Pelodiscus sinensis: one gene and its partner. The protein of the gene in region 1 interacts with the protein of each later gene in a biochemical or structural test. Links are inferred from orthologs where the notes say so. Each region holds a gene or a part of one and is shown on either strand. Other genes may lie near its edges. The genes, in order: SLX4 and EME1.

What was found.
Region 2: the proteins of SLX4 (region 1) and EME1 form a complex in vitro, tested with the Homo sapiens proteins (3 studies listed by BioGRID, with this or other methods). The link is inferred for Pelodiscus sinensis from reciprocal best matches to the Homo sapiens genes SLX4 and EME1.

What each region holds. Positions count from the first base shown.
Region 1 is NC_134726.1:3,757,909-3,774,093, reverse strand, and holds the start of SLX4 (structure-specific endonuclease subunit SLX4), read right to left. Parts: upstream 5,903-16,185; 5' UTR 5,757-5,902; intron 1,567-5,756; 5' UTR 1,170-1,566; coding exon 800-1,169; intron 1-799. Other genes in the region: TRAP1 (heat shock protein 75 kDa, mitochondrial), read right to left, coding at 10,419-10,520, 11,035-11,107, 12,242-12,387, 14,151-14,236, 15,156-15,294. UniProt on the Homo sapiens protein: Regulatory subunit that interacts with and increases the activity of different structure-specific endonucleases.
Region 2 is NC_134730.1:13,962,255-13,978,211, forward strand, and holds the start of EME1 (structure-specific endonuclease subunit EME1), read left to right. Parts: upstream 1-8,517; 5' UTR 8,518-8,791; coding exon 8,792-9,626; intron 9,627-9,706; coding exon 9,707-9,834; intron 9,835-13,161; coding exon 13,162-13,251; intron 13,252-13,675; coding exon 13,676-13,797; intron 13,798-14,087; coding exon 14,088-14,226; intron 14,227-15,411; coding exon 15,412-15,527; intron 15,528-15,957. Other genes in the region: MRPL27 (large ribosomal subunit protein bL27m), read right to left, coding at 1,304-1,510, 2,598-2,665, 3,418-3,540, 8,171-8,282. UniProt on the Homo sapiens protein: Non-catalytic subunit of the structure-specific, heterodimeric DNA endonuclease MUS81-EME1 which is involved in the maintenance of genome stability. In the complex, EME1 is required for DNA cleavage, participating in DNA recognition and bending.

The DNA of each region.
Region 1 (16,185 bases):
AGGCCAGAGCAGCCCCCTGCCTCCCCCTATTTAAGCGGTTAACTGGTTAAACATAACATTTAACCAATTAACTGATTAAATGGGATTTTACATCCCTAGTTCTGACTTCCATTCCAATGATGGGGCCTGAGAGATGCTGAGCAGTAGGATCTCTCAGGCTCTATAATGGGTAGAGGCTGGAAATCAGAATCTAGAGCAGTGTTTCTTAAACTTCTTAAGACCAAGAAACACCAAACAATTTTTTTTTTGTATGAGGAACAGCAAGGATTTTTGGTTGAGAAAAAAAAAATCGCCTGCTCCTTTAAGGGTGGCCATTTTGAACTCTGTTGTTCTCCATGGCACACTTCCGATTGCCTCAGTTTAAGAAACACTGATCTAGAGTGTTGGCTGGGAGTCTGTGGCCCAGTGATGTTGGTCTGGCCATTGCTTCAGGCTGTTGCATAGTCTATTGCCAGAACATCTATCAGGGTGGGATGAAAACTACCTCTCTGCAGCCTGGGCTGCTTTGGGGAACCCTTCCAGCTCGGTGCTTCATGTGACAGCTGGAGAGGCCTCGCCTACCTGACAGCATGTGCTGAAGAACAATGACTAGGGACAGTCAGAGGTGTCAGTCTAACAAGTGGAGTGCTTTCTACTGTACTATGAGTGAGCAAAATGCCACCCTATGCCACCCTAACTGCCTGGTAGGCCCGACCTGGTGGAGTTTAGAAATGTTCCACTGAACATGAAAGCCCTTCCAGCCCCAGGGTATTTTCCATAGAAATATTTCAGAGAGAAGGAAGGAGATTGGACAAGTTACCTGCCAAGCTGTTCTGCTTACACTTTGGTGCCATTGCATGCAACTGAGTGACAGAAGGAGGGTCTCCATTTCCATCACCCAATGGAGGCCCAGCATTTCCACACGCTGTGGCTTCCCCTTCTGGTTCATGCCCCAATGCCTGCCCATTGGGGGTGGTGGGCCCTGGACACCCCACACCCTTTCCAATAGAAGACCCAGGTTGGCTTTTGCTTTTAGCAGCTGACTTGCTCTTTTTCAGTTGGCTTTTTGTGGCAGTGCTCCTCGTCCTGCTCTGAACCTTCCTCCCTCCCTCAGCATCTCCAGCCTTTTTCTTCACCCTGCTCAAGAGGTTAGCACAGAGTTCTTTAAAATCATTGTCCAACTCCTCCATCAGGCTTCCAGCCTCAAAGCACTCGGCTCGGCTTCAGTGTGATGGGGCATGTGGGAGTACTGGACTTGGCAGCAGGGTCAGCGCAGGTCTGCTTCCTGCGATGACCTAGTCATCATTTTGCCTTATGCACCATCCCTGCAGTCTGCACACTTTGGATTCCAACAAGATCAACGTGGGCACATTTCTGGCTGGTCCAATATTTCACCCTCTCTATTTCCAACTTAGCCATTAAGTCCTGTAGAGTCTTCAAGGAGTCCACTTGTTATCATTCATATTCAGGTGACTTCCTTGTGCTCTGACGAGTTGGATAAAAGATGGAGAATGCACTCTGGAGAGAGGACGCTTCAGGATCTTCATGATGTGCTAGAAGGCCGTGCAAGGAGCTTTATGATAACATCTAAACAAAAGAAATAAACAAGGGTGTAAATGAAGAATGGTTTGTATAGGCACAGTCTGGAATTAGGTGGAGCTTCTGAGGATCAGTGCTGGAAAACCCTGATTGGATAAGGCATATCATTGACACAAAGTATTGTCAACCAGAGAACTACCCACAGACACAGAACATGCTAAGAGGGGAGGCACAAACATTTCAAAGAAGATTCCTGGCATTAAACATCACTATCACATGCATAACAGCATGTTTCCTACTTTACGAATGGGCTGAGACTGAGTTTTTCTTTTACATAATAGGATCTGGAAGTGAATGTCAGAGTGGAACTAAAACCACACACACACATATTTTATATCAGGGGTTTTCAAACTTTTTTTTCCTCATCTTGAAGAAAATTGTTGATGCCCGCAACCCAACATAATGTGACTAGAGTGTGGGCTCCAGGGTGGGGCTGAGAGCTTTGGGTTGCAGGAGGGGACTCCAGCTTTGGAGATCTATGAGGAACTGATGATACAGCTGCAGTGCCTCACACTGAAGTGCAGGAGAATTGGACTGAGTTAACAGTCTGGCGCCAGACAGAGCTTGGACTGCGAAAAAAGCAGCACAGCCATGACTGGACGAATGCATTACCTCACTCAACAGCAGACCTAGAAAGCAGTGGCACATGGTCCCTGAAAGACTTAAGGAGGTCTCAAGAGAAGGATCAAAATAGAGGGAAAGTTGGAAGCACTTCATTCCTCAAAAATGGAATTAAATGTTTCTTTTTCCATAAGTAACTAGTTTTCTAATTATAGAAAGATCCCAGGAAGAGGGAGGGCTCTGTGCTGCTGTGCTGGAACCATAAATATTACTTCCCCTCCCTTGAAGACTTATTACAGAGGACCTGGAAGCTTGGAAGCAGAGTTTTCAATCACGCCAGTCAAAACACAGCATGGGGAAAGAATTGGTATTTGTGCTGGAACCCACAGCAGAAAGAGACCCCCTGGAATATTTCCAGCCCAAGTACTGTAGCCATAAGCTTTCCTACAGCCCTCAGTACTTCCCATTGCTGCTGGAGAGAAACCCACAGATCTACAGCAGACCTTCCTGAGGAGCCTCTCACAGACCTTCCCTCATGCAGTCTCTCTCAGTTCAGTGCTACATAGGCTTGTATGTCATGCTCATCACAGTAATATCCTTTGTAACCATAGTATGGCAGACTCACTGTACTGCTACACTGTTCACAAGGCATGGCTTCTCTGCATCCCTGGGGTTGCAAAAAACATCTTAATGTGCAACGGCAATCAAAAAAGCCAAAAGAATGTTAGGAATAACTAGGAAAGAGATAAATAAGAAAATATAACGTCACTACATCAATCTATAATATGCCCACACCTTGAATACAGAATGCAGTTTTGGTCACCTCATCACAAAAAAGATATCTTAAAATCTGAAAAAAGAGAGAAGAGCAAACCAAACAATCAAACAAACAAAAAAAACCCAAGAGTACTGCTCATTTTAGAAAAGAGATGACTAAAGCAGGATATGATAAAGGCTTATAAAATCACTAATGGTATGGAGAAAGTGAAGTGTTATTTACCCCTCTTCTAACATAAGAACCAGAGAGCCCTTAATTTCACTGAGTTAGTACTTCTTAACACTATCTGTGGAACTCATTGAAAAAGATGATGAAGGATAGGTCCATGAATGCATTAGCTCAGATGGTCAGAGGTGCCACTAAATCTCTGTCTGAGAGAAGTTGGGACTGGATGCTAGGAGATGGATCGCTTTATTATTGCCCTGTTCTGTTCGTAACCTCTGAAGCATGTTGCATAAGCCACTGTTGGAAGTAAGGACATAGGGACAGATGGACCATACATCAGTCAATTCAACTACCTGATAACTAATAATAATACCTAGCTCTTATACAGTGCTTTTCATCAGTAGATCCTGACACACTTTACAAAAGAGGTCAGTATCATTAACCCCATTTTACAGATTGGGAAACTGAGACAGAAAGGGAGGGGGAAGGTGACTGGCCCATGGTCACCCACGAGACCAGTGGCAGAGCTGACAATAAAGTTCAGCATGTGAATGTCCGCAATAACAGGACAAAAGCTTTTGTCTTAAATCACCACATCCCTTGCTTTTCCAGCCAGGATCGGCTCTTTTGGTATCTAATCCCTTCTGATCTTGGAAGTGAAAGGTAGATTTCCACTTTGCTGCCTTGAAGATGCTGCAGAGAGAATGCAACTGCTGCATCCCCAGGTAATATGGTCTGAGTGAACCTGCATCTGCTACAGTTAAGCAATAGTACAAAGCTGAGTGAAACAAGTAACTACGAATCTGACGGCTATAAATATCTGTGACGATAAGAGAGAGCTGCGATAGCTCAAGGAAAATCCATGCAATTTTTAACAAAATCCCACATTTTAATTTTTACCGCAAATTGCTAATGGGGCTTATTATCTATGCCTAGCTTGGTTACACACAGAATCTGCACAAAAGGCCTGATTCCTCTCTCTTACCAGTTTAACTCTAATGAAGTCAACAGCATTTCTGATAGGAGAAGCAGGCCCTACATAGCAAAATTGTTTTGGCTTTTTTTTTTAAACTAATATAAATTTAACTTTTCCTGAACATAATGCTAGGAATAGATGCCATGCTAGATAATGAAATAGTCAATCCACAGAACAATAGTATAGACTAGGGGTTATCAAACTTCACTGCACCCCAATCCCTTTCTGACAACAGAGTTACTCAGGTGGAAGAAAGGGACAGAGCCTGCTCCCCACCGCTCTAGGTGTGGGGGGAGAGAACACAGCCAGAGACTTGCCATTCCAGGGAGGAGGAGAGGGGGACAGAGAGAAGGGACCAGAGCCTAAGCTCCACCACCCTGGAGCCACGCTGCCCTAGGTGTGGGTGGAGCTCAGGTTTCAGCTTCAGCCTAAGGTACAAGCAAGCCTAAGGCTGGCCCTGGAGACTCTATTAAAATTGGGTCAAGACCCATTTTGGAGTCCGGACTCACAGTTTGAGAACTGCTGCTACAGAATATAGGAACTGCCACACTGGACTGGATCTGCGATCGATCTAGTCTGATGTGCTGTTTCTAACATAAGAATGGCCATACTGGGTCAGACCAAAGGTCCATCCAGCCCAGTACTCTGTCTGCCGACAGTGGCCAATGCCAGGTGCCCCAGAGGGAGTGAATCGAACAGGTAATGATCAAGCGATCTCTCTCCTGCCATCCATCTCCACCCTCCTAATGATGGCTAGTATCAGATGCTTCAGAGAAAGATGCATAAACACCTCATTATGAAGCTGTGGGATGATCTGCCACCATGACAGCCTCACCCTAATAGTTAACAAGGTTGGTTTGAGCACAGACACATGAAGTTTGCATCTTTCAAAATTTTGGCATGGTTACCATTATCTATTGGACAGTCTTTGTTAGCCATATAAATGTTCAATCTCTTTTTGAATGTTGCTAATGTTATGGCCTCTTTGGCAAACCTGTGAATTTTGTGTTAATGTGCCAATGTTTTAATTCCATAGATATCCCCTTGTTCCTGAATTGTACGCCTGGGAGAACAGAAACGCCTGACCTACATTTTCTTCACCAGTAATTATTTGATAGACTTTAACCGTGCACTGCCAAGCACGGCTTTTGCAAGCCAACAATTTTAGAGCGGTGTACTAAAAAGTGGCTAATTTAGCAGTGGCTTTGCGCGTGCTTTTAAGGAGATCTGTTCACCAAATCCCACGCTGTCATACGTGCCCCCCACAACTCCTCTTCAAGGTGTTGCCACTGTTTAAAACCCTGGAACACCAGGCTGAATGGCGCAGCGCCGTTTCCACTGGCCTTAGACCCGAGCTACGGATCCCCGGGCTGATGCTGGACAGAGACTTGGTCTAGCACGGTTCGTTACCCGGCCCGGGCCGGGAGGGAAGGGTTGTGGGGTGCGACCGGCTGGGATTCCCACCCGCACTGCTGGGGGCGCCACATTTCCCACCATCGCCCCTCACGCCAAAGCCGCCGAGCGGTGCTACGTGACAGCGATGGCACTATGACATCACAGCGGGCACTGTGACATCACGGCAGTGCTGCCTGACAACGTCTCCATGGGAACCAGAAGTTGCGCCAGCCGCTGACAACGCAACAGAGAATCTTCCCCCCGCTACATCGTCTCGTCCCGGCCTCCCCCGGACCCTCTGACCTCTGCTGGGCGGCAGCTCCGCACCCCTGGGTACTAAGCCGGGCGGCAGCACATTCCGCCCAAAAGGCACGCGCAGAATCTGTGGCGCATGCGTAGAAGAAACGGCGGCCGTTAGCGGGTAGCATTCGTGGGCCGCTTTCCGTCGTCTGGCTTCTTCGCGCATGCGTAAACCCCCATCATCGCTACACAAAGGCCACCTCCCAAACCTCGTTCTGTACGCATGCGCGGCCCCTCCCCTTGCTGCGCGTGCTCCGGAGGCACCTCGGCTCGACCGGCTGCTAACGGCTCAGCCAGGTTGGGCCCGCGCGAGCGTTTTGTCGGTTAAACGGTCACGCGCAGACGGGCGAGTGCGGAACGGCTCTCCAGTCACAGCTCCCGGCTCCTGCGGGGAGTTTAATGAGGCAGCAGGAGCGCTCCAATGGCCCCTCTTAGCTTTGCCATCCACTGGGGAATCCGTGCTTACTGCGCGCCCCCAGCACCACAGCCTTAGAGGGAACTCGCCCTGTTCACGGGTACCAGCGTGCTGACAACAGATCCGTCGTTCCCCTTGGCTAAGCCCCGTGATCTGGCAATAAGGAGTCTCACAGGAATATCCCGGGGACCACAAAGTTTCCGTTGTATAGGGGCCACCCTAGGAGGACCGAGATTTTTTTCGACACCCATGGTACTTGTGCTTACTGAAACAAAGGTGAGCTTCCTTGTGGTTTCCATGGAAGGGAGGAGCCTTTCAGGACTGTGTCCTGAGTGGCTTTGCTGAATGCAGGGATGTTAATTAACTTTTAAAATGTTAACCAGTTAAGTGCTAGGTTTCAGAGTTAACCCTGGAGCAGCCCCACCCAGTGGCAGGACAGGCTGCTCCAGCCCCAGCTGTGCCATGACTTCAGATGTCAAGGGCTGCTCTGGCCCCAGACCTACTGTGGCCTTGAAGGTTACTCCAGCCCCTGCTGTGGGGGCTGCTTTTGCCTGCTTGTGTGCTGGATGGGTCTAAGAGCAACCTGGTGCAGCGGAAACTAGCATATCAGATGGCAGCGTGGTGTGTGTGTGGAGGGGGGTTCCAACCTGTCACAGTTGATAGAGCTGAAAGGTGCCTCAGTTTTCAAACATTAAAGCTGAACCAGAGAACAGGCAGGAATTCTCTTGGGAGAAAAGGCTCCGGAGCTGCTGGGCTAGAAACTCTGGCAATGGCTGTACATCTCAAATGACTTGGTTCCATTTTTTTATTGAAATGTATTTAGGATTTCTGGGATCTAGGCCCTAGCTCAGATTCACTGTGTGCCCTTGAACAATTCATTTACCCTCAGTGCTAGTTTTGCCACTAGTTAAATAGACAGTAATGACTAACTTCACGAAGGAGATGGGAGAATTAGTGTTTGCAAAGCATAAACAGAATTACTAAGTATTATTAATGGCTCCCGAGTTCTCTGCTTTTGGAAACAATAGCCTCCCTTAATGTTTTAAACAGTTGCTGGTGAAGGAGCTTAGAGTGCAGATTCCTGGCCTGTGGTTTGTCTGTAAATCACAACGCTGGACTCTACCCAAGACACTCTCTTGAATGTTTTAGCAGGAAGTCTGGATGAACAAAGCTCTGTTCTCAGTTACGTAGCCCAGGGAACTACTTTGAGCTGGTCCAGTCTCAAAGTCCCAGCCAGACCTTCAAGGGATTCTGTCCAAGTCCCAAAGCACAGGGTCTCAGACACATCCTTCCAAACTGGATTTCACCGTCTATAACTATTTGGCATTGCCTATGTTAAGGATGTATTTGACTCCTTAGTGCTACCTGTGGGTCAGCTGACCAGCCTCAGAAAAAAGGATGGTTAAGAGCCTAATTTATTACCCGTTAATTACATGAACACTTGGGCAAGAAGCTGCCAGTGTAGACATAGCCTAAGAACAGCTGATCTTGCGCAAAAACTTGCCTGCTGTCTACACTGCAGGAGCATTCTTGCACAAGTAAGTTTACAGTATAGCGTTGTAAAACAGGGCTTCTTCCTGAAGAGTTATTCCTCTCCCCATGAGGAATTAGCCCACAAGAGCTGATCCACAAGAGGGCAGTGTAGACAGGCAACATGAATTTCTTGTGAAAGAAGCCCCTATGGTTAAAATGACCATCAGTGTCCACACTGCCATGGATGCTCTTGCGCAAAAGCACATCTCTTGTGCAAAAGCACATGGAATTGTGGACACGCTCTTGTGGAAGATTTTTTGCACAAGAACTCTTCCGCAAAAGAGTTCTTGCGCAAGAAGCTGCCACTGTAGATGTAGCCTTAGGTTTTGCCTGACCCCAGAATTTGAACTGCCTCATTTATACTCTTGGGCCCGCTCAACACTAGGGCAGAAGGATGACCTAAGATACACAACTCTAGCTATGTTAGTTACATAGCTGGAGTCGATGCATCTTAAATTGCCATCCACACAGCAGGAGGTTGATGCCAGCAAACGCTCCCGGCTACTTCCATTATACTCCTCACTAGGAGCAGGTGTGACGTAGTGGGGGGCTGTTTACTCTAGTGGTTGTAGGTCCACTCTGGTTGGGCATTCACTGGTTGCAGTGGGGGCTGCAGGTGACCCCTACTGGCCTGCATCTGTAAGCACTGCCCAGTGGGGGGGGGGGGGGGTCGCCTGGAGGCTCTCCTCATGTAGTTCATGGTCCAACCAGTTCTCACCTGATGAGGAAAGGGATCTGAACAACAGAAGGGTGTGGCTTGGAGAAGGGCAGTCTTTGCTGGAAAAACATGAAGAGACTAAGCTGAATACTGGGGGTTGAGGGGCTAGTGGACCCCTATCCCAAGGGGTCCAAGGCTGCCTGGCCCTGACTCCTGTAACCATATGACGTCAATTCTGTACTGTATCCTGGAGAACCAATAAACCCTCTCTATTCTACTGGCTGGCGGAGTCTCATCTTGCTGCGGACAGAGGTGCAGGATCAGGGGATACCCGCCACACCACCTTATTGGTGCTGAGGGAAACACCCTCTGAGTTCAATTTAGTGCATCTTCACGACACTAGCTAAATTGAACCCCAGAAGATCAACCGCAGCAGTATCAATCTTCCATGTACTGTAGACATGACCTTAGTATTATATACAGTATAATGCAGACCATAAGTAAGTCCAATTTACTGGGTGGTATTTATTTAAATGACTAAACAGCAACAAGATGCTACATATACCTTAAGCAGAGCTGGCTCATGATCCACCATATAGACACTGAACAGACTTCACACATTGACGATGCTAGTCTGAGTTAATCCTAGAGATGGAAAGGTGAAAGGCTCTACTTTCTGATCTTCCCAAAGGCTGAGGTAAGTTTATGGTATTTAAAAAATGACAACATTACTCTTCAATTTTGTCTGGTCAGCATCACAAAATGCTGGTTTAGTGACAAGTTTTTACTGCTTATTTGTGTTCACCTGCTGAGCTCAAGTATCTCTGGGAGAGAGCTGATTCTATGCTGGCTCACATGGCACCAGAATCATTAACCAAGTTCTACTTATAGAATCTTATTTCTGATTCATCCTGAACTCTCCAGTAAGAGCCCACACTGAGTTTGCAATGCTACTGGTTATTAAAAAAAATCTTGTACACTGAGCTCAACTGCCCGGTGAAACAGAAAAACAGAGGACCATGGTAGCTTGTCTCTCTCAGGCCCTTTCTGCTGGGTAGTTAGCACATGTTAAAAACCTGGAGTTTAGCTCTTAGTACCTTAAGGACAAGAATTAGGGTTCATAGCTCAGGGACTCGCCTCCTACTTCCCTTCCAATTCCTTCTATATGGCCTTCCCCATCCCCCACACCACTGGCAGAAGGAGCTCTTCCCCACCATTCTAGGACGCTGCTGCCTCTCAGCATTGGGGAGTGTGTGAAAGGATATGAACTGTCATGCTATCAGAGCTGGGGCACAACAGAGAAAAATAAGGCAAATTCCCCTGGTGAAGGTATCATTAAATGAAGAATTTATTTAACATAAATAAGCAGAACAGCGATTACCTAGGGCATGCCAATTATACCACAAGGGAGGCAGAAACCCTGGAAAAACTGTTCAAAATGCCAAGTGAGCTTGTCAAATATATCCCCAGATACAGAGATGAGTTCAGTTATCCAGTGGCTCAGCTACCTTATCTGCCACACCACTCCGACCTATGTTTGTTAATGGCAACCATCTATCCCGGTGCCTGCTAACCACTGGGTGGAAGTTTTGTGACAAACTCATTTTGCTCGGCCGAAGCTGGTGTTCTGAGCCCACAGTGTACAAGGGCAAATTCCTGAATGGGTATCTGGGGCTGTTTCATGGAGCTAGTGTGGACTCCTGATGTCAATTTTGCTATTGGGAAAGACTGTTTCTGGAATCAATATGAAATTAGAACTTTGGAGCCAACCTCAGAAATCCTGGCAAATCATTTTAGCGATAATCTCCTGGTTTTGATCTCAGCTGGATGATGCCATTCCGGAAGGGTAATACACAGCCCAGTACTTACAACTGGAACCTCTCTCTAAAGTGAAACTTGGGAGCACATTCATGTGCCACGCAGACCTGCAGAGATTCTAGTCTCACTGTACGGAGTCTGGGACCAGACGGCTGTTCCATCAGCTGACAGTGGAAGTTGTGCTTGAAGGAACTGCGGCTGATACCTGGCACAGAGCTTGCCCCTTCGATCAGTTTGGGGATCAGTGTTTTTCCAGGGCTTTGGTAAGGAGCTCATTTAGACGGCTCACCATAGGTCTGGGGTCATCATTCAGTCCTGCTGCTATCATGGCATTCTCATAAATCTGAGCGAGACAAAGGCACAGAGAAGAGATGTTGTTAGCAACAGGAGCCACCTTGGTGGCTCTCCAGCACTCCATGCCCCGAGTGTATGAATGTGAGGTGCCATTTGGAGCCCTGTTCAGTTTCAGACACAATTACCATCCCTCCACACTTCAAGAGAGCCATCTTAAATGTCAGGTACTGCCTATGAATTCTTTCTGCTTGGTTCCTTTCCTTTCCTTTCCTTTCCTTCCCTCCCCCCCCCCCCCACTAGTGCTGCCCACTCTGGTGTAAACAGCATCGTTCTCAGCTCTGCACCAGACACGAATTGTAGTAGGCCAGAATGAGCAACACAGACCCATCCCTGGATGACACCAAAACATTCTAGGGAAATGGTCACTGCGTACTAAAAATACCGAGAGTGGGGATCACTGGGTACATGATTCCAGTTGGCCACAAGACAGCCTTGGTCCACTCCCTTACTGCCCACAGATGTGGTAGCCTGCTCAGGGAGCATGGTGCAAACATGGCCCTCACCTGATCAAGCAGCAGCTGGGCCAAGTCAGGCTGGCTGACCCTCAGTTGATCGAGTTTTTTGATCAGTGCATGCCTGCAATGGAATGAGAAATCAGCACAGGGTTGCAGTACCCCTGGAATGTGTGAAAAAGCCCGATAAGAACGGCCATACTGGGTCAGACCAAAGATCCATGTAGCTCAGTATCCTGTCTTCCAATAGTGGCCAATGTCAGGAGCCCCAGAAGGAACAAACAACAAGTAGTCATCAAGTGATCCGTCCCATCACCTATTCCCACTTTCTGAAAGAGGCTGGGGACACCTTCCCTGTCAACAGCCATTGATTGACCTACCCTCCATGACTTGATTTAGTTCTTTCTTGAACCCTGGTCTAAGTCTTGCCTTTCACAATATCCTCTGGCAAGGAGTTCCACAGGTTGACTGAGCTGTCTGAAGAAATACTCTCTTTTGTTTGTGTTAAACAAGCTGCCTTTTAATTTCATTTGTTGCCCCCCAGTCCGTGTGTTGAGAAGTAAACAAAACGTCCTAATTTACTTTCTCCACAGCAGTCATGATTTTATAGACCTCTATCAAATCTTTCCTTAGTCTCTTTTCCAAGATTAAAAGTCCCAATCTCTCCATACAGAAGCTGTTTCATACCCCTAGTCTTTTTTATTGCCCGTTTCTGAACCTTTTCTAATTCCAAAATACCTTTTTTGAGATGGGGCAATCACATCTGCACATGGTATTTAAGATGTGGATGTATCATGAATTTATTTAGAGGCAATGAGATATTCTCTATCTCTTTCTTAATGATTCTCAGCATTGTTTGCTTTTTTGACTGCTGCTGCACATTGAGTGGATGTTTGCAGAGAACTATCCACAGTGACTCCAAGATCCTTCTCGAGTGGTAATAGCTACTTTACACCCCATCATTTGACATGTACAGTTGGGATTATGTTATGTACATTACTGTATCTGTTGAGCTTCTTCCCCTTTCTGCATGGATAACACAGATGGCTGCTGCCAGGGAACTCCCCCATGAGGCTGGACATCATGTGGGCTGGCAGGGGCATGTATCCATTACTAGGCACAGCTCCATAGGCCAAGACACACCAGCACACATGCGAAGAGAATGGAGGATCCCAGCTGGTTCAAGTTTGCTATGCCAGCCAATATCTGCCTCTGCACCTCCTGCAAGCTGCAGTGCTCTGGCTCTGCCCCATCTCACCCAGTGTTTATTTCCAGTGTGGGCTGCAGGATCTGGGCACGCTCCTCGTTGGTCTTGGCCAGCTGCTGCATGCGCAGAAAGTGGCGGGCAGCCCCCATCTCAAGCACAGTGATCATGGCCGGATGGGTGTCCAGACGTGGAGTCACCTGTCAGAGGAACAGCAAACAGGGACAAGATGGGAAATGCACATGGCTCAGAGGAAGGGGAAAGTAAAGGGCTCAAAGGCTGGATTTCGGCAGGGAGGAGAATGTCCCCTTGTTGCAGAATCTACACAAAGCTCAGAGAGAACTTACAGCCACACCCAAGAAACTGCCTACAAGAGGGTGAAAGCCCATGGCTTGAATGGTACATGTGAGACACACTGAGCACAGGGTGGGGAGCTTGGATGACGTGGCTCTATTTCTGCCTCTGCCACTATCTACCTACCCGAAGGTTCTGCCTCTGTCCAGTATCTGCCTACCTGAGGGTTTTCTGTAGCATCCATCCCCACACCAGGAAAGTGCTGCCCTGAATCCTCTCTCTGCCCTCAAGCTAGTCCCATCCCTCACTGTACGGAGGCAGAACAATTCAGATGATCTACCCAGAGGGCTGTGTAGGATGAAGATGAAGCTCTGTCTCAGTTCAGTCCAATGCTTACAGAGGGAGAATTCAAGGAATTATTCTCCCACCAAATGTTACTGACCATTCCACGTACTCACTACCACCCTAACTGCTCCCTGGTAGCCCTAGTGTACCTGAACAATTCAACCACAATCACACCTTTGAGCCAAGCCAAAGAACTGGTGTCTGGAGGAGCATATCCTTGCCACTGGAGTGCCTCTCTGTGTCCAGGAGCTGTGCTGCCACGGTCCTGTCAGTCTAATAACCCCTCCAGTTCTTGGAGTGTCAACAGAGCCTGTCATCTTATACAACCTAACTCTCTAGCTAAGTCCCTGCTCAGTTGATCTCCTTTCATAGCTAGCGGAAAGGGCCAAACAAAGAACTCGAAGTCCAGCGGTCTTGGACTCACTCCTCTGGCCTCTAACATGCCATGACCATTTTCCCTCTCCCTCCTTAGTCTGGGTATGAGGCATAAGAACCCAGGCCCACCCAATCCACTGGACTCCAGCTCAGGGCCCTTGTTCAGAGTAGCCATAATTAAACTGTATCAAGAACCTAATTGTTCCCTGAGCTGCTGCTCCTTATCCGTGGGCTTTCCAGCCTCATGTTCAGCTTCTCAGTTTGTTAGCACCAGCTTCTCTCTACAGTCCCTCTGCCTTGCTAGCAGCCCTCCTGCCACACAGCCCTTTAATACCCCAGCTGCCATGGGGCTGCCTATCAGCTCAGGCTGAGCAGGCAGCCAGTCTGCATTAGCCCTGCGGTTGCCAAACCAGCCTGGGGTGTACAGACCCGAGGACAGTGTCCAAAGGAGCAAGGCTGAAACTGACACACCAGAGGAAAGACAAGAGCTGGGTTTATGTAGGAATATTACTGAAAGGGTCATGTAGCTCCAGCCTTATCCCTTGAGAAGCGTGAGACCATCAGATACACTCCTAACATCTTGCCCTGGCAGAAGGGAAATGGGGGTAGACTTATTATTTATACAACTATGGGATCCAGTGGCCCAGCTGAAGAGAAGGCCGCATTGTGGCAGGTGCTCCACATAACAGTTAAAGACCATCCATGCCCTAAGGCACCTACAGTCTGACTAGACAAGACAAAGGAAGAACAATTTATATCCATTTAACTGGTGGGGAAATTGAAGCACAGAGAAATCAAGTGATTTGCCCAAGATCAAATTTGGCTGAACCCACATCTTCTGGGCCCTAGTTCAGAGCCTTGACCACCTACCAGACTTCCTCTTTTCTGAGGTTATGATCTATATAGGTCTTTTCCACCTTTAGCTCCTGGAACACTACAGCACACGTACCTTAACATTGGTGATGCGAGAACCCAAAGCATTTCTCATCCAGGCCATCAGCTCCTCAGCCTCTTTCTCCGTCAGGCGTTCTGCAGCTGTGGGGATAGGATGGGTTACATCACAGTACTGCCATGGGGCAGCACTAGGGATTGTGTGCTTTGTTCCTGAAAAGCAGCTTTGTCCATGTCACATACCCATCTGCTCTCCCACAGACAGAGAGATTGCACTAGGTCGATACACATGCATCATTCCAGAGACCACCCCATGCACAAAGAGAGAAAGTTTATTCCATCCCAAGCCCTACCCTCTGGCATCAGCAATGTCTGCTATTACAATAAAGTGGGCTTTAAAACTAGGTTAGACCAGAGAAGCCAGTGAACTTAATTGTTTTAAACAAGAAAACTGCTTGGCTCCTGTCCATAGCAGACAAGGCCTGCTCTCCTACTAGTCAGGGCAATGTTAGATTTCTTTTGTTTTAAAGAGAAGAATTTACAGCTCTGCTACAGCGCTCCTGCTTCAGGGGTCTCAGTGTCGTTATTGAGACCTACATTTAGTCCTTTGTGCTTTACAGCCACTGGCCTCATGAATCCTCAGCCACCTAAATAGCATCACAGGACAGGGCAGGCTGGCTAAAAGTCTCCCAGAGTGGGCAGGCAGCACTGATTTAGGAGGGGCAGCTGCATCCCTCCCCCCTTTCTTCAGAGAAGGTGGGGAAGTGACAGGAAAGGAACTTGCAATAATTGGCCACCAGCAGTTTAGCCACTATACAAGGAGACAGCTGCCCAGGTCAGGGCCAGGCCGGCACTGCAGAGGCAGGATACAAACTAGAGAGCGTTTTGCTCACATGCCTTAATGCTTTCTTGAGGGAGGACATGAAATTAGGGTATTCTCACTAGCTACCACCTTGGCTAACCTGTGGGAGACTCGGCCCCATCTGGCTGCCGAGCTGGAGAATGTACATGCTGAGCCCAGGACCATGCACCAACTGTAATGGGGGGGGAAGAGATGCCCTACCTGGGTGGCTCTCCTCAAACTTCTCTTCCTTATAGTGGTCAACAACGATGTCAGTCTCTACTGAGATCAGCTTCTTCTTATCAAACTCCCGGAGGTGCAGGAGCGTCAGCTCATCAAACTGCTCATAGCAAAACAGCACCTGTGGGAAAGGACAGTGAGCAACGCGGAGTCCAGGGACGAACAGGACTGCCGGCAGCTCAGAGCTGCATGGACAGTTGCCTCTTCCCTTTCCCAAGAGCATCATGAACGAATGCTTGCAGATCTGCACTGCCCCTCCCTTTACAGCCACTGGCCTCCTGACTCCTCAGTGGCCTCGTGAGCTTCAAGTTGCTCCTCCAACTCCCTGCTCCCCAGACACACATAACACGCCTCAAGGACCCATGGTGGTTTGCTGGCTGACACTGCTGAGCTCTGTGCAAACCCCTCCCCTTGCAGAAGCAGATCGTACCATCAGCAGCTGAGGTCAGGGCTGTCCCTAAGGCATGGAGGATGCCATTCTGCTACGCACTGCATAACCTCACACGTATGGTGCTAGTGCATGGAGGACACCATTTTGCTCTACAAAGTGGCATCCTCTGCACTGCATGATCTTGCGTGCACCATATGTATGAGAGCACGCTGTGCAGAGGATGCCACTTTGTGGAGTAAAATGGTGGGGCCTCATGTATGGTGCATGTGCAGTCATGCGGATGGAGGATATCATGTTGCTTAGCACCCTGTATGCTGTCTGGGGTCCCGGAAGGAAATGGTTCATTATAATGGGGGTTACACTGGGGAACAGTGTGGGAATCTCTGCCTTGCCATGACATACAAAATCTCAGCACACCCAGAACAGCCTTCTCTTGAAGAGGTCTCCTCTTTGCAGATGCAGTGCTGAGTCAAGAAACTGCCAATTATAGATACAACTGCTCATCCTTGAGTATTCTGGACAAACTGGAGAAATGGTCTGAGGTAAATGGGATGAAGTTTAATAAGGATAAATGCAAAGTACTCCACTTAAGAAGGTACAATCAGTTTCACACATACAGAA
Region 2 (15,957 bases), on another chromosome or scaffold:
AATGACAACAGGATTCAATAAAGCATCTGATCCCCACATAGGTCACTCCTGCTTATTAAAAATTGTGATTACAGTTAGCGCAAACCAGGAGGCATCGACTGAATCACTAATTCCTGAGTAATAACCTTGACTCTGGAGCCTTCAGCAAATCCCATGCTCCAGTTTCCCCCATGGGAATAGCTGCTTTCCTACTTCACACACATTATGAGTTCATGTTTCCAAAGTGTTGGTCATTATCCCTGTGTTACCAACTAGAAGATTTACCCAGCGTTGCTCAGTTCCTTAACTCAAATACTTTTTGTTTTTCTTCCTGTAAATCATTGGTTTGGGGGGCTCAGTATGCAGGCAGCTCCAGGGAGAGAGAACAACCCCAGCCCTGTCTCACCGCAGCAGCTTCCGGTCATGTGAGAAGCATCTCTCCATGGCTGCTGCAGCAGGCACAACAGGCGTAGGGGTGTTTACAAACTCTCTCAAATATAGAGTAGATAGCTGTTGCTTTCTCCACCCCTGCCTCTGTGGGATTATAGCTGTCCTGATGCCCATCTTTTGTCTGTTGCCGCCCCACTGTGGTCATTATATGAGCTAACTGTCCCTGCTATCAGATCCCTCCCTTTGTTTCTCATAAAACAGAGTCACATTACAGGCATATCCCATTGTCCTGGCACAACCAAACCCTGATCTTGCTTTAAATTATAAGAGGAAGTGGCATACCCATTTTGGTGGTCCTAGCTCTTACTGTTTAGAAGGAGTTCTTCAACAGACAGAAACTCTCAAATATATAATGAATCGGGAAACTGAGGCAGGGGCCCAATGCCACAGAATGAGCTGGTACCAAAGCTGGGATTAGAATTCAGATTCTATTCCTTTTTCAGAATTCCCAGTGTACATCAGATGCAGTCAGGACAGGAACTGTTCCAATGAATAGTGAGAAACAAAATGGCTGTGCCTGGAACTGGATAATTCCTGTGCAGAAAGTACAGTATTTCCAGTTGGACTGGAGCACAGCTATCCAGAAGGGAAAGGCAGATTCACTGAGCCTTTTTGTTTTTAAACTTATTCCACGAACACCATCACACTGTTAGAGAATCCCAGAACATTTATTTTATATATGCTTCAACAAACAGCATCGGGGCAGTCTGGACTACTTTGTAACTCTCAAATTTACATCCAGTGAGTTCTAGGAACCAGAAACTGGAGTTGCCAACAAGTCATTTCAGATCTAGAGGAGTCCTTCAGACTTCTTTCTGGTTGAGTGGCAGGTTTGTCATGGTGATCAGTCATTACTGTGTGGGGAAGCAGAGCCTCAGATCATGGTGACTAGCTTGAAGCTCCCCACTTCTTTGGTGGGGACAACGTTGATGAAGGTTTTGTAAAGCACTGCTGATTTGGGTAGGCAACAGATCACGTCCCTGGTCTCTTCGCTGCGGGGTGGTGGCACATAGACCTCCTTGGTGAATCGCACAATCCCATCCTCCAAAGCAAAGAGTGTCTTGTTACAACCTATCCCCACCTGGAAGAGAGGAGAAGTGTGCTGTTAGAAAGCGTTTAGGTCACTGTGCACCATTTAACAAAGTGGAACATGCCACTGGTCCAGCTAGTCTGGTGTTCTGGCTACAGCAATGTTCAGTACCTGATACTTCAAAAGAAGGCAAAAAGCACTGCACTCGGGGAACTGCCAACAATTCTACATGCTATGGGAAAAGATACATTATTCTAACCCTGAAGCATGAGAACTGATTAACGTCATGCTAGGGATGTAATAGTGCAGTCGAGTAACCAATAAGCAAAAACGTATAGGTTAATGCTATAAACTACATGCATTTCTCCTCTCCCCACCAGTAAGTTTTTTAGTAGGCTAGCCAGCAGCCAGGCTCAGTCCTGGCTTGCGACAGGTCTGGGACCTACCCCTGCTGTGGCTCTGCATTTAAAGTGTATTAGGAGCTGGGTGGACAGGCAGCTCGGCTCAGTCCTGGCTCATGCCGGGTCCAGGACCTATCCCTGCTGTGGCTCTGCAATTAAAATGTATTAGGAGCTGGGTGGGCAGGCAGGCCGGCTCAATTCCAGCTTGTGCCAGGTTTGGGAACTCAGACCTGCCCCCAGACAGGGGCTGCTGCCACCCCACGCTGCTGCCTCTTTATCAGAGGCAACAGCACAGGGCAATAGGCATCTGGTCCATGAAAGGAGCTGGCTTTTAAACTGGCTTCCCTCATGGACCATCACCTGCCTGCAGAGTGGCATGGGACTCCTCAGGAGTGAGGCAAGAGTGCACTGGCTGCTGGCCCCACCCCCAAGGACTATAGAATAGTCAACTAACCAGTAAGAATTCCTGAGGTTACTCAGCTATTCAATTAACCGTATTTAACATCCCCACTTCACATACAAATGTTGGTAACAGTCAAAACTCTCCAGTTGTTTACTAAATCTGACTCCTGCACTGATATGGTTTTGAATAAATGGTAAAACATGTCTGGTAATGAAACAGTGACTTTAAGGTTCTACAAAATGCAACGGAGGAAACAGAGAAGAGCCTTGACAGAGCTACGGCTGAATTCTGGATACTGCGATGCAGAGCTATAAAAGATGAAAAACTAACTCACGTGAGCCCCTGGATGCCAGCGTATCACCCGCTGGGTGGCCAATGTAGTGCCTGCATGAACAAAGGCACCTGCAACAGAGTTACATGGATTCAGATTACAAAAGAATAAGCTTCTCAATAGCCTGAGTTCTGGTAGAATGAGAACTCACAAAGCCAGCCGTGGTTGGGATTCCTAAGGAGGAATGATTCCAAACTCTAAAAACATTTTTAAAATGCTCCTATCAGAGAACACAGGGCACTTAATACACAATGGTGAAAAGCAGTTTTAACCTTTGAAAAGATTAGTTCGAGGGCACAAGGCATTTTCTATTTGCTGCAGGCATTTTTATTGCCTTTTACATCAGTTTTTTCCATCAGCAAACCCACCCTAATTGTTAGGCACTCAGATACAGGCATCTGTACTTTGGCTTCTACTAAGCCTCATAATTCTACTCTTTATAAATACTTGAAATGCCCAGCTTCTGAGCACAGGATGAGGGGAAAGGGCACAGGGTTTCCTCCTGGGGTGTGCTTCCACGCAGATTCCCCAGAGACAAGCTAAGTTAGAACCAGTGCCTGTTTCTTATTGGTAACTTCATTCCGCTGAACGTAGGCGGATCAGGGAATGAGCTCCTGCTGGCTACTCTCTCAATGGTGGTTATGTATGCAATGTTGTTGTAGCCAATAGTGGCTAAACCTTCGGGTTTCTCTCTCTTTAGTCACAAACAAACGCTCCCATCTGAGCTCTGAAACACATATAACAGTCCTGATAATGGGGTAACTTGTGGAGGGCACATTCCAGAGTTTGTCAAGCAGTTGGATAGACAGACAGACTGACCTACCTTCTGTCTTCTTATAGCCATAGCGTTTCCCAGGACTCTTGCCACCGAGATTTTTTGAGCTGCCTCCACTCTTCTTGCTTGCACATCGTACTGCAACTGCAGTCACCTGTGGAGCAGCCAAAACTGTATTTAAAGGAAGAAAAAAAATTAACAGTGAATTCAAAATGAGTACAAATTTACACTTCCTTTTAAATCAGAAAAAAATTCCTAATTCAAAATTCATGTAATTTCAAAACAAATGTTAAAGCCTAAATCAGGTAAAAAAAAAAAACCCCTCAGAATAAATGTATTATAAAGGTAATTCATATTTAGTCCATTGTCTCTCTCCTGCAAACAATCATGAAACACTTCAGAAAGCCTCCCAATACCTCAATGGAGTAGCAGAACTCTCAACAGTGTATATAAATGCAAACAATCTGCTATTAATTGTGGCCATGCACTTTAAATTTCTGAGCTACAGAAACAGTTACAGAAGAGTCAGTGTAGCCAACTGATATGAGCACGGCACTGGAATTCAGGACACTTGGGATTACCTTCCACTAACTCCGTGAACTTGAGACAAGTCACAAATATTGTGTGTCTTAGTTTTCTACCTGTGTGATGAGTATTAGTGTGGGCCTTAATGATTTAGTGTCTGTAAAAATGATTTAGTGTCTGTAAAATGCTTTAACAGCCCCAGTTAACTGTCTATAACAATTAACAGTTTTATCATCAAGACCCTGATAGTGAACAATACATAGCCATGTGGTTGCGGTCCTGAACGGGAACAAATTTCAGCACACACCCTACTATTCAAGGCCTGGGTTAAAAAAAAAAAGTGTGATAGTAACTGATTCATCTTTCTTTTCTTGGAGTATGTCACTCTTTTACATCACAAAGTTCTTCCATTAAAAATCAAATACACCAAATCCACTGTCAATAAATACTCAAGAAAGTCTGACCTGTCTGTGAATTCCACTTCATAAGTTTGGATATAGTTAGTTCTTTTTCATATAGTCTTTTTGCCTTTTATCTAAATCCTTCTATTCAGCTTAGAGCAGTGTTTCTTAAACTATGTTCCACAGAACACTGGTGTTCCATGAACAACTTACAGGTGTGCCATGACCTCTTCTTTGTTTTTGTCTTTTTTTGTTTGACAACAATTTTTTTAAAGAAAATTTTCATAGATGTTCCGCTTAAAAAAATATTATTGTTTGGTGTTCCATGGTCTCAAAAAGTTTAAGAAACACTGGTTTAGAGTGTTGCTAAACAGTGGTTACTACAAGGCTGTGTCTACATTGGCACCCTTTTCTGGAAAAGGGATACTAATGAGACACTTCGGAATTGTAAATGCCGCGGGGGATTTAAATATCCCCCGCGGCATTCGCATGAACATGGCTGCCGCTTTTTTCCAGCTCGGGGTTTTGCCGGAGAAAAGTGCCAGTCTAGATGGGATCTTGCGGAAAATAAACGCTTTTCCGGAAGATCCCTTATTCCTACTTTCAAGTTTATTTTCCGCAAGATCCCATCTAGACTGGCGCTTTTCTCCGGCAAAACCCCGAGCTGGAAAAAAGCGGCAGCCATGTTCATGCGAATGCCGCGGGGGATATTTAAATCCCCCGCAGCATTTGCAATTACGAAGTGTCTCATTAGCATCCCTTTTCCGGAAAAGGGTGCCAATGTAGACACAGCCCAAGAGTCTCATTTTCTTATTCAAAGAAAGGCAATGGATTCATTTTATCTTTATTAAATTATCTCAGATACTTAAATAAAGATTTGGAGGATGTCTTTATAAAGGACATTTTATTATACATGTTTAGAATACAACAAATAAAAGAAAGTGGTTGTGACGGAATGAGGCAGGGAAGTAATGGGATTTTCAGAGCTCCTAGCAAAGTATTTTTACTAGACTGGGATTAAATGTAATCTGTAGCTAAGTAACTATCTTTGTTTGATCGGTAATGTAATTATTTTATATTTTAAATCATGTTATGCGTCGGTATAGTACCTCATGTGAGGACATCAAAGAACTTTACCAATATCAGTTAAAGCACATACCATCAAATATAGTAGGAAGTTTACCTATCTATAAAAGATAAATACTTAAGGCTCAAAGCTCAAAGTACTTGCTCAAAGTCTCATTATGAACTGGTGACAGAATTCCAAAGTTCTGAGCCCCTCCCAGAGAATGCCCTGTGAGCAGCTCTCTGTTGTTGTTTTATTAGGAAAGGACTTTATGCATGAGCACCACTGCTGATTGTAAAGGCAGCAGCACAGCACAGAGAGAGTGGCAGTCTCTCAAATGAGCAGATGCCAAGCTATTTATATCTAGTTTGTTTCATGTCAGTCAAAACCAGCCTCTTAAACTCCACATGAATACCATACAGCCACTTCATTTGCCCCAGCCTTGGCCTGCCTGGATAGTAACAGCTGTAAAGATACCATGGAACATTATGAAAAATTCAGGGACTCGAGCGAATGATTTGTAGGTTAGAAATACATGTGATATTTCCTGTGTAAAACAAAGCCAGGCTCTTTGCTTTAAAAATTTTCCAGTTCAATACACCATTTCTTTCCTTCAAGTCCCTGTTTTGCTCCACTCTAGACCAACACCTATTCATTAGGGATGTGAAAGTGTAGCCATGTACATATTAAATGCAAGCTCCGGTTCGCATGTGCACACTGGCTCCTGGGGAGCCACCTGTAACCCCCGCAACGTATTGCTGCCTTTTGCATTTTTAACATCCCTACCATTAACCCAGAACAGTTCCCCTTCTGCAGTATCTGATGGAGACTCCCCTAGGTGGCTTATCTACTAAGTAGCTGTTCTTCAAACCACAGCAGATGGCTGTTTTGTTGTATATGGATGTAAAATGATGAACTGAAAATTTACAGGGTTTGGGGGGAGAGGGAGGTCTTGCAACAAAAATGTGGTTTTAGAAGCCTGCTCATATAGGCAGGGCTCGACAAATAATGCAATCTACTTGCCCGTGGCGAGTAGATTGCAACCCAGAAGAGCCAGATTCGGGCGATCTGCGCATGCACACATCACCGGACAGCATGGCTGGTGAGGGGGGCTCGCTGCGGTTCGGTGAGCCCTGCATATAGGGATGTAATAGTGTAGTCGATTAACCAAATGCTATAAACTACACGCATCGTTTCCAACCCCCCCTTGCCAATACATTTTTTGGCAGGATGGCCAACAGCCCAGCTCAGTCCCAGGTTGCGCCGGAGCTGGGACCTACCCCTGCGGCAGCTCTGCCTTTAAAAGCCATTAGGAGCCAAGCGGGCAGGCAGCCTAGCTCAGTTCCAGCTCACGCTGGGTCCAGCAGCTCAGAACTCTCTCTGAACAGGGGCTGCTGCCACCCTGCACTGCTGCCTCTCTATCAGAGGCAGCAGTGTAGGGTGACAGGAAGCCCAGTCCACAAGGGGAGCTGTTTTTTAAACTGTTTCTACTCACAGACCTGCTCCCGCCCAGCACCCCAGAGGCAGCAGTGCAGAGTGGCAGGGGGCTCCTTTGGAGTGGGTCCAGAGCGTACTGACTGCTAGGCCTGCCCTCACGGACTACAGAATAGTCGAATAACTGATAAGAATTAATGAGGTTAATCGACTATTCAATTAACCGATATTTAACATCCCTATGTTCAAAAGCTTTAAGATCAACCACTAGTCTACAACCGAGTCTGTTACTGAACAATGAAGCAGCTGAAGCACCACTGACACCTCCTAATCTTATGGAATTTCCCTCCTGTATCCACCAGCCAGTATGTATGAGCGACAATTCCTTGCTGGCCACTCCAAAGAAGTGGTGGTGAAATTTAAACTGCTGCTCAAACAAGAGAGAGCCCTGCAACTCAATGGTCCCCACCTCCTCAAATCTTAACAGGGAGCTTCCATTGGAGAGAAACAGAGATTAGGAAGTGGGCATATTTTGGGTGGCAGAGAGGGGAAGGAGCAACAGACTTTTTTTAAAAAAAAATTAGAACTCAGATTTTCCTTCTTGGGCACAAAGACTTGCAACAAACCCATACTAGTTCATCAGTTAAAAATAAAAAGATAAACCTGACCAGGCGCAGAAGTATTCCCTACCACACACTGCTCAACAGGCCAACAAGTATAAAACCAGAGTAACTCCACTGAGTGAAGATGTAACAGATGCCTGCCTACCTCCCAGGTCAGATCTTATATACCTTGGGCCAGCTCTACACTCAGGTAGACAGCTGTAAGCAGCAGAGTAACCTCACTGTCTCATAGCATGGGCAAATATGCATGGCATATAGATTTTAATGTCCCAGATGTGGCAGAACTGTATATTTTTATTAGTACTATTAGTATATCTGATTACTCTAACTTCACGTGCTGTGCTAGGGACGCAGGAGTGCTAAGCATGATACAGAACCCTAGACAGATTACCCAACAGGCAAAAAGCAGGTAGCTAAAGGAGGGAGGGAAGGAAAGGGGGTAATGGATCACTTAATAACACCTACTCCTTCTATAATGCTTTTCATTCACTGATTTCAAAGTGCTTTAAAAAGTATCTATAGGCTCACGTACAACCTCGAGGGAACACATCAGGTACCCAGACCACCACGACCTCTTTGTGCCACCCTCGCTGAGATCACCCCTGGTTTGGTCCAGGACGTTCAATGGTCCCAACACCACTGACGGGTGGGAGGCGCCTGGGTGTAGGCAGCCTCCCCTCCCCGTTAGGCTGTAACCGCTACAGGCCGGCGGTGCAAACCGATGGCACCACCCCGCTCCTTCGGGTACTTACAGGCCATAGGCCAGTCACCGGGCTCGTGGCCTTCCACACCCCCCGCTGGGGGGGCGCACTGGGGGAAAGGGCTACTTCCTTCTCCCTTCCCCCTCACCCGGGCTGCACTCATCGCCCTTTCCCCAACCCCTCATCCATCGCCCCCTCCCCTCTGACACTCACGCAGCCTAGTCACCGCCACCAAGCCCCCAACGCGCCCGAGCCCTGCCACCGCCATTTTCCTCACTGTCACTTCCGCTTCCGGTGCGGCTGCTTCCGCCTCCGGCACAGGATTTCCGGTCAGGAGCGAGAGGCGGCGGCAGTTTGAATACGCCGAAGGGGGAGGCGCCTGCGTTCCCTCCGTTGCCGGGGGGGGGGGCTGTGAGGTTGGCGCGCGCGGGGCTCGCCGGCGCTCCCTCAGCGGAGCCCCGCGCGCCCGCGGCCGCCCCGGGGAACCCGCCCCGCCGGCCGCGCGTCGGCTCGTGTCCCCGGCGCACGAGAGCGGGTCCCCTCTCTGGGGCGCGGCAGAGCGAGGCTGTTCCGGGGGCTTAGGGAGCGGCCAGGAGGCGCACGGGGCCGGTCTGCAGCCGCGCCTCGGGGCTCTGCTGCCCGTTGCTCTTCAGGCGCCACTGACGGGCCGCCATGTCCCTGGAGTCGGACGAGAGCGAGGCCGAGGACCTGCTGCCAAAGTTCACTTTCCTAAAGCAACAGCATCCTGCCGTCGAAAGCAGCCGCTGCCGCCGCAGCCAGAGCCAGCCTCCTTCCAAGGAGCGGGTTGTGGTGCTCTGCAGCTCTGACTCTGAGGAATCCTCTGCTCCTTCGCCAGGGTGGAGAACACTCCAGGATTCGGACAGAGCTAGCTCTTGTAAGGGTGTGACGGCCAGGCTAGGCAGTGAAAGCGAGGAGGAAGAGGAGATCATACCCCTGTCTGAAAGACTGAGGGGGAAATTGGGGAACAGCAAGTCCTCCAAAACTAGCATTTTGCTTTCTGAGGCTCAGCAGCTGAGTAGCTGTGATGCGGTGTGTAAAGCTAAAAGTACTGTTCTCCGTCATTGCAATGAACGAGGGGTGACTCATTGCAGAGAACAGTTGCTGCCCAAGGCCTCTGATACCCAGACAAGAGCCCCTGTCTTATCATGGGAAATGTCAGATTGTGACCAAGATGATGCCACAAAAGATTCCGAGACGGTGCCTTTGCACCAGTCTCCATTTCATCTGTCACACTCTCCAGTCCAGGATAGACGGTCTCTGGTGGCAGAGGCAAGTTCAGAAATGTCCCCTCAGCAGAAGAAGTTAAAACACAGCCAGGAAGAGAGAGACAGAGCTCGTAGGGCTGTGTTGCAGAGGAGGAGAGAGCGGGAAGCCCAGAAGGAACAGCAGGAGCAGGAGCGAGAGCGGAAGAAGGCTCTTGCCAACATGCTGAAGGCCCAACGACCAGAGGAGTGCCTGAAGCATATAACAGTGGTGCTGGATCCAGGTACCATTCCTTATCTCTTCTTTCAACCTTAAATTAATGCAGCCCTTATTGTAGGCCTTTGACCTTTACACCCATCTTAGTTCTCTTACAGGTGGAAGGAGGTGGACAAGTCCTCAGTGCTGTGCAGTCCATGAACTGTGGCTGTGTGATTGAGAGTCAGGCTGTTCCCTATAGCATCACATGGAGGAGGAGGGCTAGGTCATCTCAGGTAGGGGACCACAACGTCCAAAGTTCTCACCCTTTTTCTTCCTCTGTGTTTAGCACATGGGGTTGTGTTGCTTGGTGATCAGATGTTACTGGTGGTAGCTTTGTGCTGTCCATGAGCTACCAAGATAATCTTAAAATGAGACTGACTTCTCTTTGGTCTTTCTCTTGCATGTGAAATGTCATTTCTCACTTGTTTTCACTATCTCCTCTTCTCTGTACTATGTAACCAAACACTCCAAGACTGCCATTCTCATCTCTTTCCCAGTAACTCTGGCTCCTTTCTTCTCAGGCTTCCTGTGAGCCACCTGTATCATTTCTGGAGGAAGATTTAGATTTTCCCTTCATTTCCTCTGCTGGAGTGCTGCTCCCAGATGTATCTTTCTTTGTTTCTTATCTCTCTCTCTCTCTCTCTCTCTCTCTCAAGCTTTGGCATTATTTCTAGCAAGATAACACCCATTTCCACATTGATTTGACACACGCTGTCATACTGCTTGCTATGTCTCTCTCTGGGTATGTCTACACTACAATGTTAGTTCGAACTAACGGACGTTAGTTCGAACTAACATTCATAGGCGCTACACTAGCGCTCCGCTAGTTCGAATTTAAATCGAACTAGCGGAGCGCTTAGTTCGAACTAGGAAAACCTCATTTTACGAGGATTAAGCCTAGTTTGAACTTACTAGTTCGAATTAAGGGGTGTGTAGCCCCTTAATTCGAACTAGTGGGAGGCTAGCCCTCCCCAGGTTTCCCTGGTGGCCACTCTGGCCAACACCAGGGAAACTCTATTGCCCCCCTCCCGGCCCCGGACCCCTTAAAGGGGCACGGGCTGGCTACGGTGCCCGTGCCAGGTGCAAGCCTGCCAGCACCCAGCCAGCAGACCCTGCACCTGGCACGGCACAGAGCCACCCACCCGATGTCCCCCAGCCCACCCCCTCTTCCCGGGACCAGGCTGGCGGCTCCTGGGAGCTTGCCCGGGACCGCAAGAGGCGGGCACCTTCCTGGGCTAGTGCAGACATCGTGGACCTTGTCCACGAACTCCGCACTAGGCACAGGAAAGTGGCCGTCTAGGGCAGGAGAGCTGCCAGCCTGGCCACCCAGGAGCAGGTGTGCATGAAAATCAAGGGGGTCCACTGAGACCCCCGACCCTGAGCCCTGAGCTTACAATGGCCGTACTGGGTCAGACCAAAGGTCCATCTAGCCCAGTAGCCTGTCTGCCGACAGCGGCCAACCCTAGGGACCCTGGAGGGGATGGACCGAAGACAGTGACCAAGCCATTTGTCTTGTGCCATCCCTCTCCAGCCTTCCACAAACTTTGGGCAGGGACACCACTCCTACCCCCTGGCTAATACCACTCCATGGACCCAACCTCCATCACTTTATCTCACTTCTCTTTAAACTCTGTTGTAGTTCTAGCCTTCACAGCCTCCTGCAGCAAGGAGTTCCACAGGTTAACTATTGGCTTTGTCAAGAACAACAACTTTCTCTTACTAGTTTGAAGCCTGCTACCCATTCCTTTCCTTTGGTGTCCTCTAGTCCTTCTTTATGGGAACTCAGGAAGAACTTTTCTGAATGCACCCTCTCCACCCAACCCCTGCTTTTAGAGACCTCTATCCTGTCCCCGCTCCATCTCCTCTTTTCTAAGCTGAACAGTCCCAGTCTCTGTAGCCTCTCTTCATCTGGGACCTGTTCCCAACCCCCGATCATGTTAGTTGCCCTCTCCTCTCCCAGCCTTTCTCTTCCCCTCTCCCACCTCCTTTTCCCAGTCTCCCCCAGTTTTGTTCAATAAAGACAGAATCAATGTTGGAAGAAACGTTATCTTTATTTTGTACATCAGGAAGGGGGGCTAGGGAAGGGTAAGTGGAAGGGGGTGAGGGAGGAATGGGGTACGAGCCCCCCGATGGGGAGGACTGGGCTGGCTCTGCGGGCTTCTGGGGGTGGAAGCTCTCCTGCAGCCCCCCAATTGCCCCCTCTCCCCAGATGGCAGCCTGCAGCAAGTGCAGCCGGGCTGATGGCCGAGTGCTGTGATGTTCCCAGTGTGGGCACTCCGGCACTCCAAGCCAGGACTGGTTTTCAAGCGGGGCACCCCTGAGAACTGTCTGTCCGGGGTGGGGATCGGGTCCCTTTAAGCGCAGCCCTCGGCTAGCCTGAGACAGCATCTCCACGCTCTAAGTCCTCCTCTGATGCCCTGCCGGCACTGCTTCCGGCCATCCTTAAGCCCTGTTCAGGGTCCACTCAATGTGGACATGCTAGTTCGAATTAGCAAAATGCTAATTCGAACTAGTTTTTAGTTCTAGACGCGTTAGTTCGAATTAGCTTAGTTCGAATTAACTAATTCGAACTAAGTTAGTTCGAACTAACTCTGTAGTGTAGACATACCCTCAGCTCCTGGTTGTCCCCTAATTTCCTACCGTTAAATGCTTCAGAAATTAGTCTTCCTCCTGAGTTAAAATGTCCTTGGTGATTTCAGAATCATGGAATAAACCTGGACCATAAGTCCTGGCTGTGAGGGCAAAAATCTTGGAATGCTTTCTTAATCTGAAAATTTTTTTTCCTCTCCGCTAAAATAGTGCCAGTTTGTCTTGGGCCTAACTCCTCTCAAATGCCTACCTGCACATTTATTCCCCTTCTGGACTATTCTAAATATTTCCTATAGTATTATTTTTTAAACCTCAGTTATGCTCTTGCCAGACCCCTTTTCCTCTCAGAAGTGGAACCATTACATCCACATCCTCTGTATTACCTTTGCTGACTTCTTATCTATCTTTGAATCCAATTTTAAACTCCTTTGTTTGCATTCAAAATTATCAATAGACATTCCTCCACAATACTTCTGATCTTGTGCCCATCTACTTCTGCAATTGCTCGCTCACTCTTGGCCTTATACCTCCTCAGAAGGGTAGTTGATGTTCACTTTAATCTGTAATAGTGACTCTCTGTAAAGCAGATTGACATTATCTATTAATGTTTTATAAACACAATTCATTGTCCATATCTTTGACCCCTCTTTCTGCTGAGCTCTTTTAATATTCTCCACTTTGGGGTCACATTTCTTTGATCCCTATGACCACTCTGGTCTCTTGTTGTTCCCAGACTTTTGCATGCTCTCTCTCAACTTATTGATAAACTGATGCCACATGCACTATAAAACTCATCATCAGTCTTAGTAACTGTCCTCCTGCCTCCTTTTAGCAATCAACTCAAGGGAGGTGGACCATTAACAAGCTCTCACGTTGAAATGTTTCATGTGTGGCTAAAACCCTGGATGTAAGTGAAGCTGGGATCAGTTTCACTGATATCTTAAATCCAGTGTGTGTTCAACACTGGGCAGGTCGAAGAAGGCAGCTGGATAGAAGAACCCAATATCCTGGTTCTGCTTTGCCTGGATGATTTTTTATCCATGATCTACAGCTACAGACAGGTGAGATTGCTCATGACTACTGTGTGCTGTCCAAATGTGCATTACTTATTTTTCTTTTTACATAAGTTTCTTTTGGAGGTTTAGGGCAGTACAAATTTTCCTGTTTTAAAACTCTATGAATGTCCAGTGTTGTCAAGCCTTCTGAACCTGCGAGATGGAAATCGCCCTTCTTGTCCCCCCCCCCCGGACCATTGCTGCTGTATTGAAAGGAGGCCAGGGATGTGCAGAAATTTCTCTGCATGTTGCAGGGTTTGACTTAACTGCAGTACTGGAACCTGAAATTCCAGTTCTACAACTGGATATGAGTGAGCAAACCCTTACATCTGCACAGATCCAGGAATGGGGGCTGAAGCTACTCTTTGCTAGTGCTGGCCTGTGTGGGTTAAAGTGGGTTTAAATACTATTTTTTTGGCTGTCTTTGCAGGAAATCCAGGGTGGCAAAGAAGGACCAAAAGAGACCTTACGGAGCTTTGTAGCTTGTGTCCTAGAGAGAGCTCCTGGCAAAACTCTAGCACTGGCTGTAGTTGAACTAGAAAAATACTTCAGGTTAGAATTCTTCAGAGGTTTCAATGCTGTTTCTTATGGGATAAGTGTTGGTAATGACCATAGATGTTCTGCATCATCACTTGTATTTCCTACTGGCAGAGGCTGAAACATGAAAAATAGCAGTAACATCCTCTGTAACTAGTCTTCCTTCTCTGTTTCATACAGCATCTCCTCCAGGGGATGGCTGGTAACTGAGCTCCCCAGCGACTGCACTTGTGCACCAGTCCTATAGTGCCTTCTGCTAGCATCATAGGAGACGTGGACTCCTGAGCTATTCTTTTTCTTCTCAGATCTCACAAAGTTCAGTCCCGGAAGAAGGTGCGGCAGGCAGTGCTGAATGGAAGCCAAGCAGAAGGACAAGGGAAACGAAAAAAACAGAAGGGAAAGGGGGACTCTCGCCCTGAGCTGTCGAGAGTGGAAGTGGAAGAAGTGGGTAAAATTGGAGCATTTTTCTCCTTTCCTTGCTCTCAGCAATTTAGAATGCCCATTCTGATGTGCTTCATGCATACATTTGTGGGTCAGCCTCAGTTCTCTACCATAACCAAAGAGCAACTGACTTGAACATATCTAATAGAAATAGGATACACCCAGGGATTCTGATTCTAGTAAGAATCCAGGAACTTGGTTTTGTGTGTCTGAATGCATTCTCTTGCACTCTTCTTGTTGCTAGGGAGGCAGCTTGAATCAGATGGAGCTATTCAGCTGCTAGAGGACTCTAATGCTGCACATCCATCCCTCCTCTCTGGAAACCAGAGTGTCTTCCCTATGTCAGTTTCAGATATCATTCCCTTAATGTAAATCTTTGATGCAACGCTCATTGTTCTTTACAGCCCAGTGGATAACCGTTACCAGAGTGTGCAATGGACACTGGCTGGAGTAAATGGTGCAGAACAGGGTCCTCGCTAAGGAAATGTTAATCTGCTAAAATAGTTTAATCTGGAATACAGTATGCCTAATTTTTCTATAGAGCAACTATTGCAACCTAAGCTAGTGGGTGGGCCTCATGAGTGGCCCTTCATCTCAGTGAGCCACAAGATTTTCATAACCAGGATTGTTTCTTGGGATAGGGTAGTTTTGCTAATTGTGCTTGCCTACCTAGAATTTTTGGGGTGTGCCAAATGAACCATAGCAACATTTTGATTGGGTGCACACCCTTTGCATCCCATTTGTCAGTGTTGCACTTTGTGTGCCCTTGCTTTGTGTGTTTTGCTTTAAAAATACCGGTTGGGAAAAAATCAATGCAGATGGAAATCAGCATAATCTGGCAACTGTGCGCATTGGTAACAGTAAACTAAATGTCTCACAGGCCACACGTAGAACCCTAAGGGGCCACATGTGGCCATCGGGCTGCAGGTTGCCCATCACTGCTATAGAGCAACTCGAGGCAATAAATACAACACTCCAAACTGTTAATCTTTTAGGCTGTGTCTACACACTGAGTTTTTTTGGCAGAAAATATGCTAATGTGGTTGTTTTCAGAGGCTTCTTGCGTTCATTTCTCCTCCCAAAATATCCCCTAAATCTTTGCCTTAAGCAAAAATGCTAGGGATTGGACTTTGGTGGTGGGGCAGGATGAGTCAACTCACTCACTCTTGGGCTCTGTCATGTCTACAGGCATTGGTGGATCTGCAGCTTCACACAGGAGTCCAGGTTAGAATCCTTGAGAGTTGGAAGGAGTTTGGAGACTTTGCCGGTATGTTCACCAAAGCTGTGGCTGAAGCACCATTCAAGTGAGTGGGATTTATTTTGTAAGCTAAGTTACTTTTGGGGATAGCTTCAGGAGAGGCCTCCTTTCCATGAATATTGGAGGGGAACAGTAGTCATGCAACCTTATTTCAGTGCTACACAGTATAGTACATTCTTCACTGCAAAAAAAGGAGAGGGGTGTTCTGAACTTGGGCTAAAATAGCAGGGAAGACAAAATGATTCTGTTTTAACTTGGGTAAGCAATGTAAATTAAAGCTTCCAGGACAGCCAGGGGTTGAACTTGAATTGCAAACCTGAGTTGCAGTCTTTTCATTGCTACTTAAACTTGAGTTAAGAACACATGTTTTTGACAGTGAAGAAACAGCCTCAAAGGCCGGGCAGTAATTAACAGCCATAGATTAGGTGCCTTAAAGCAACTAATGCTTGTGTCTCTTGCACTGAAACCGCTGGTGC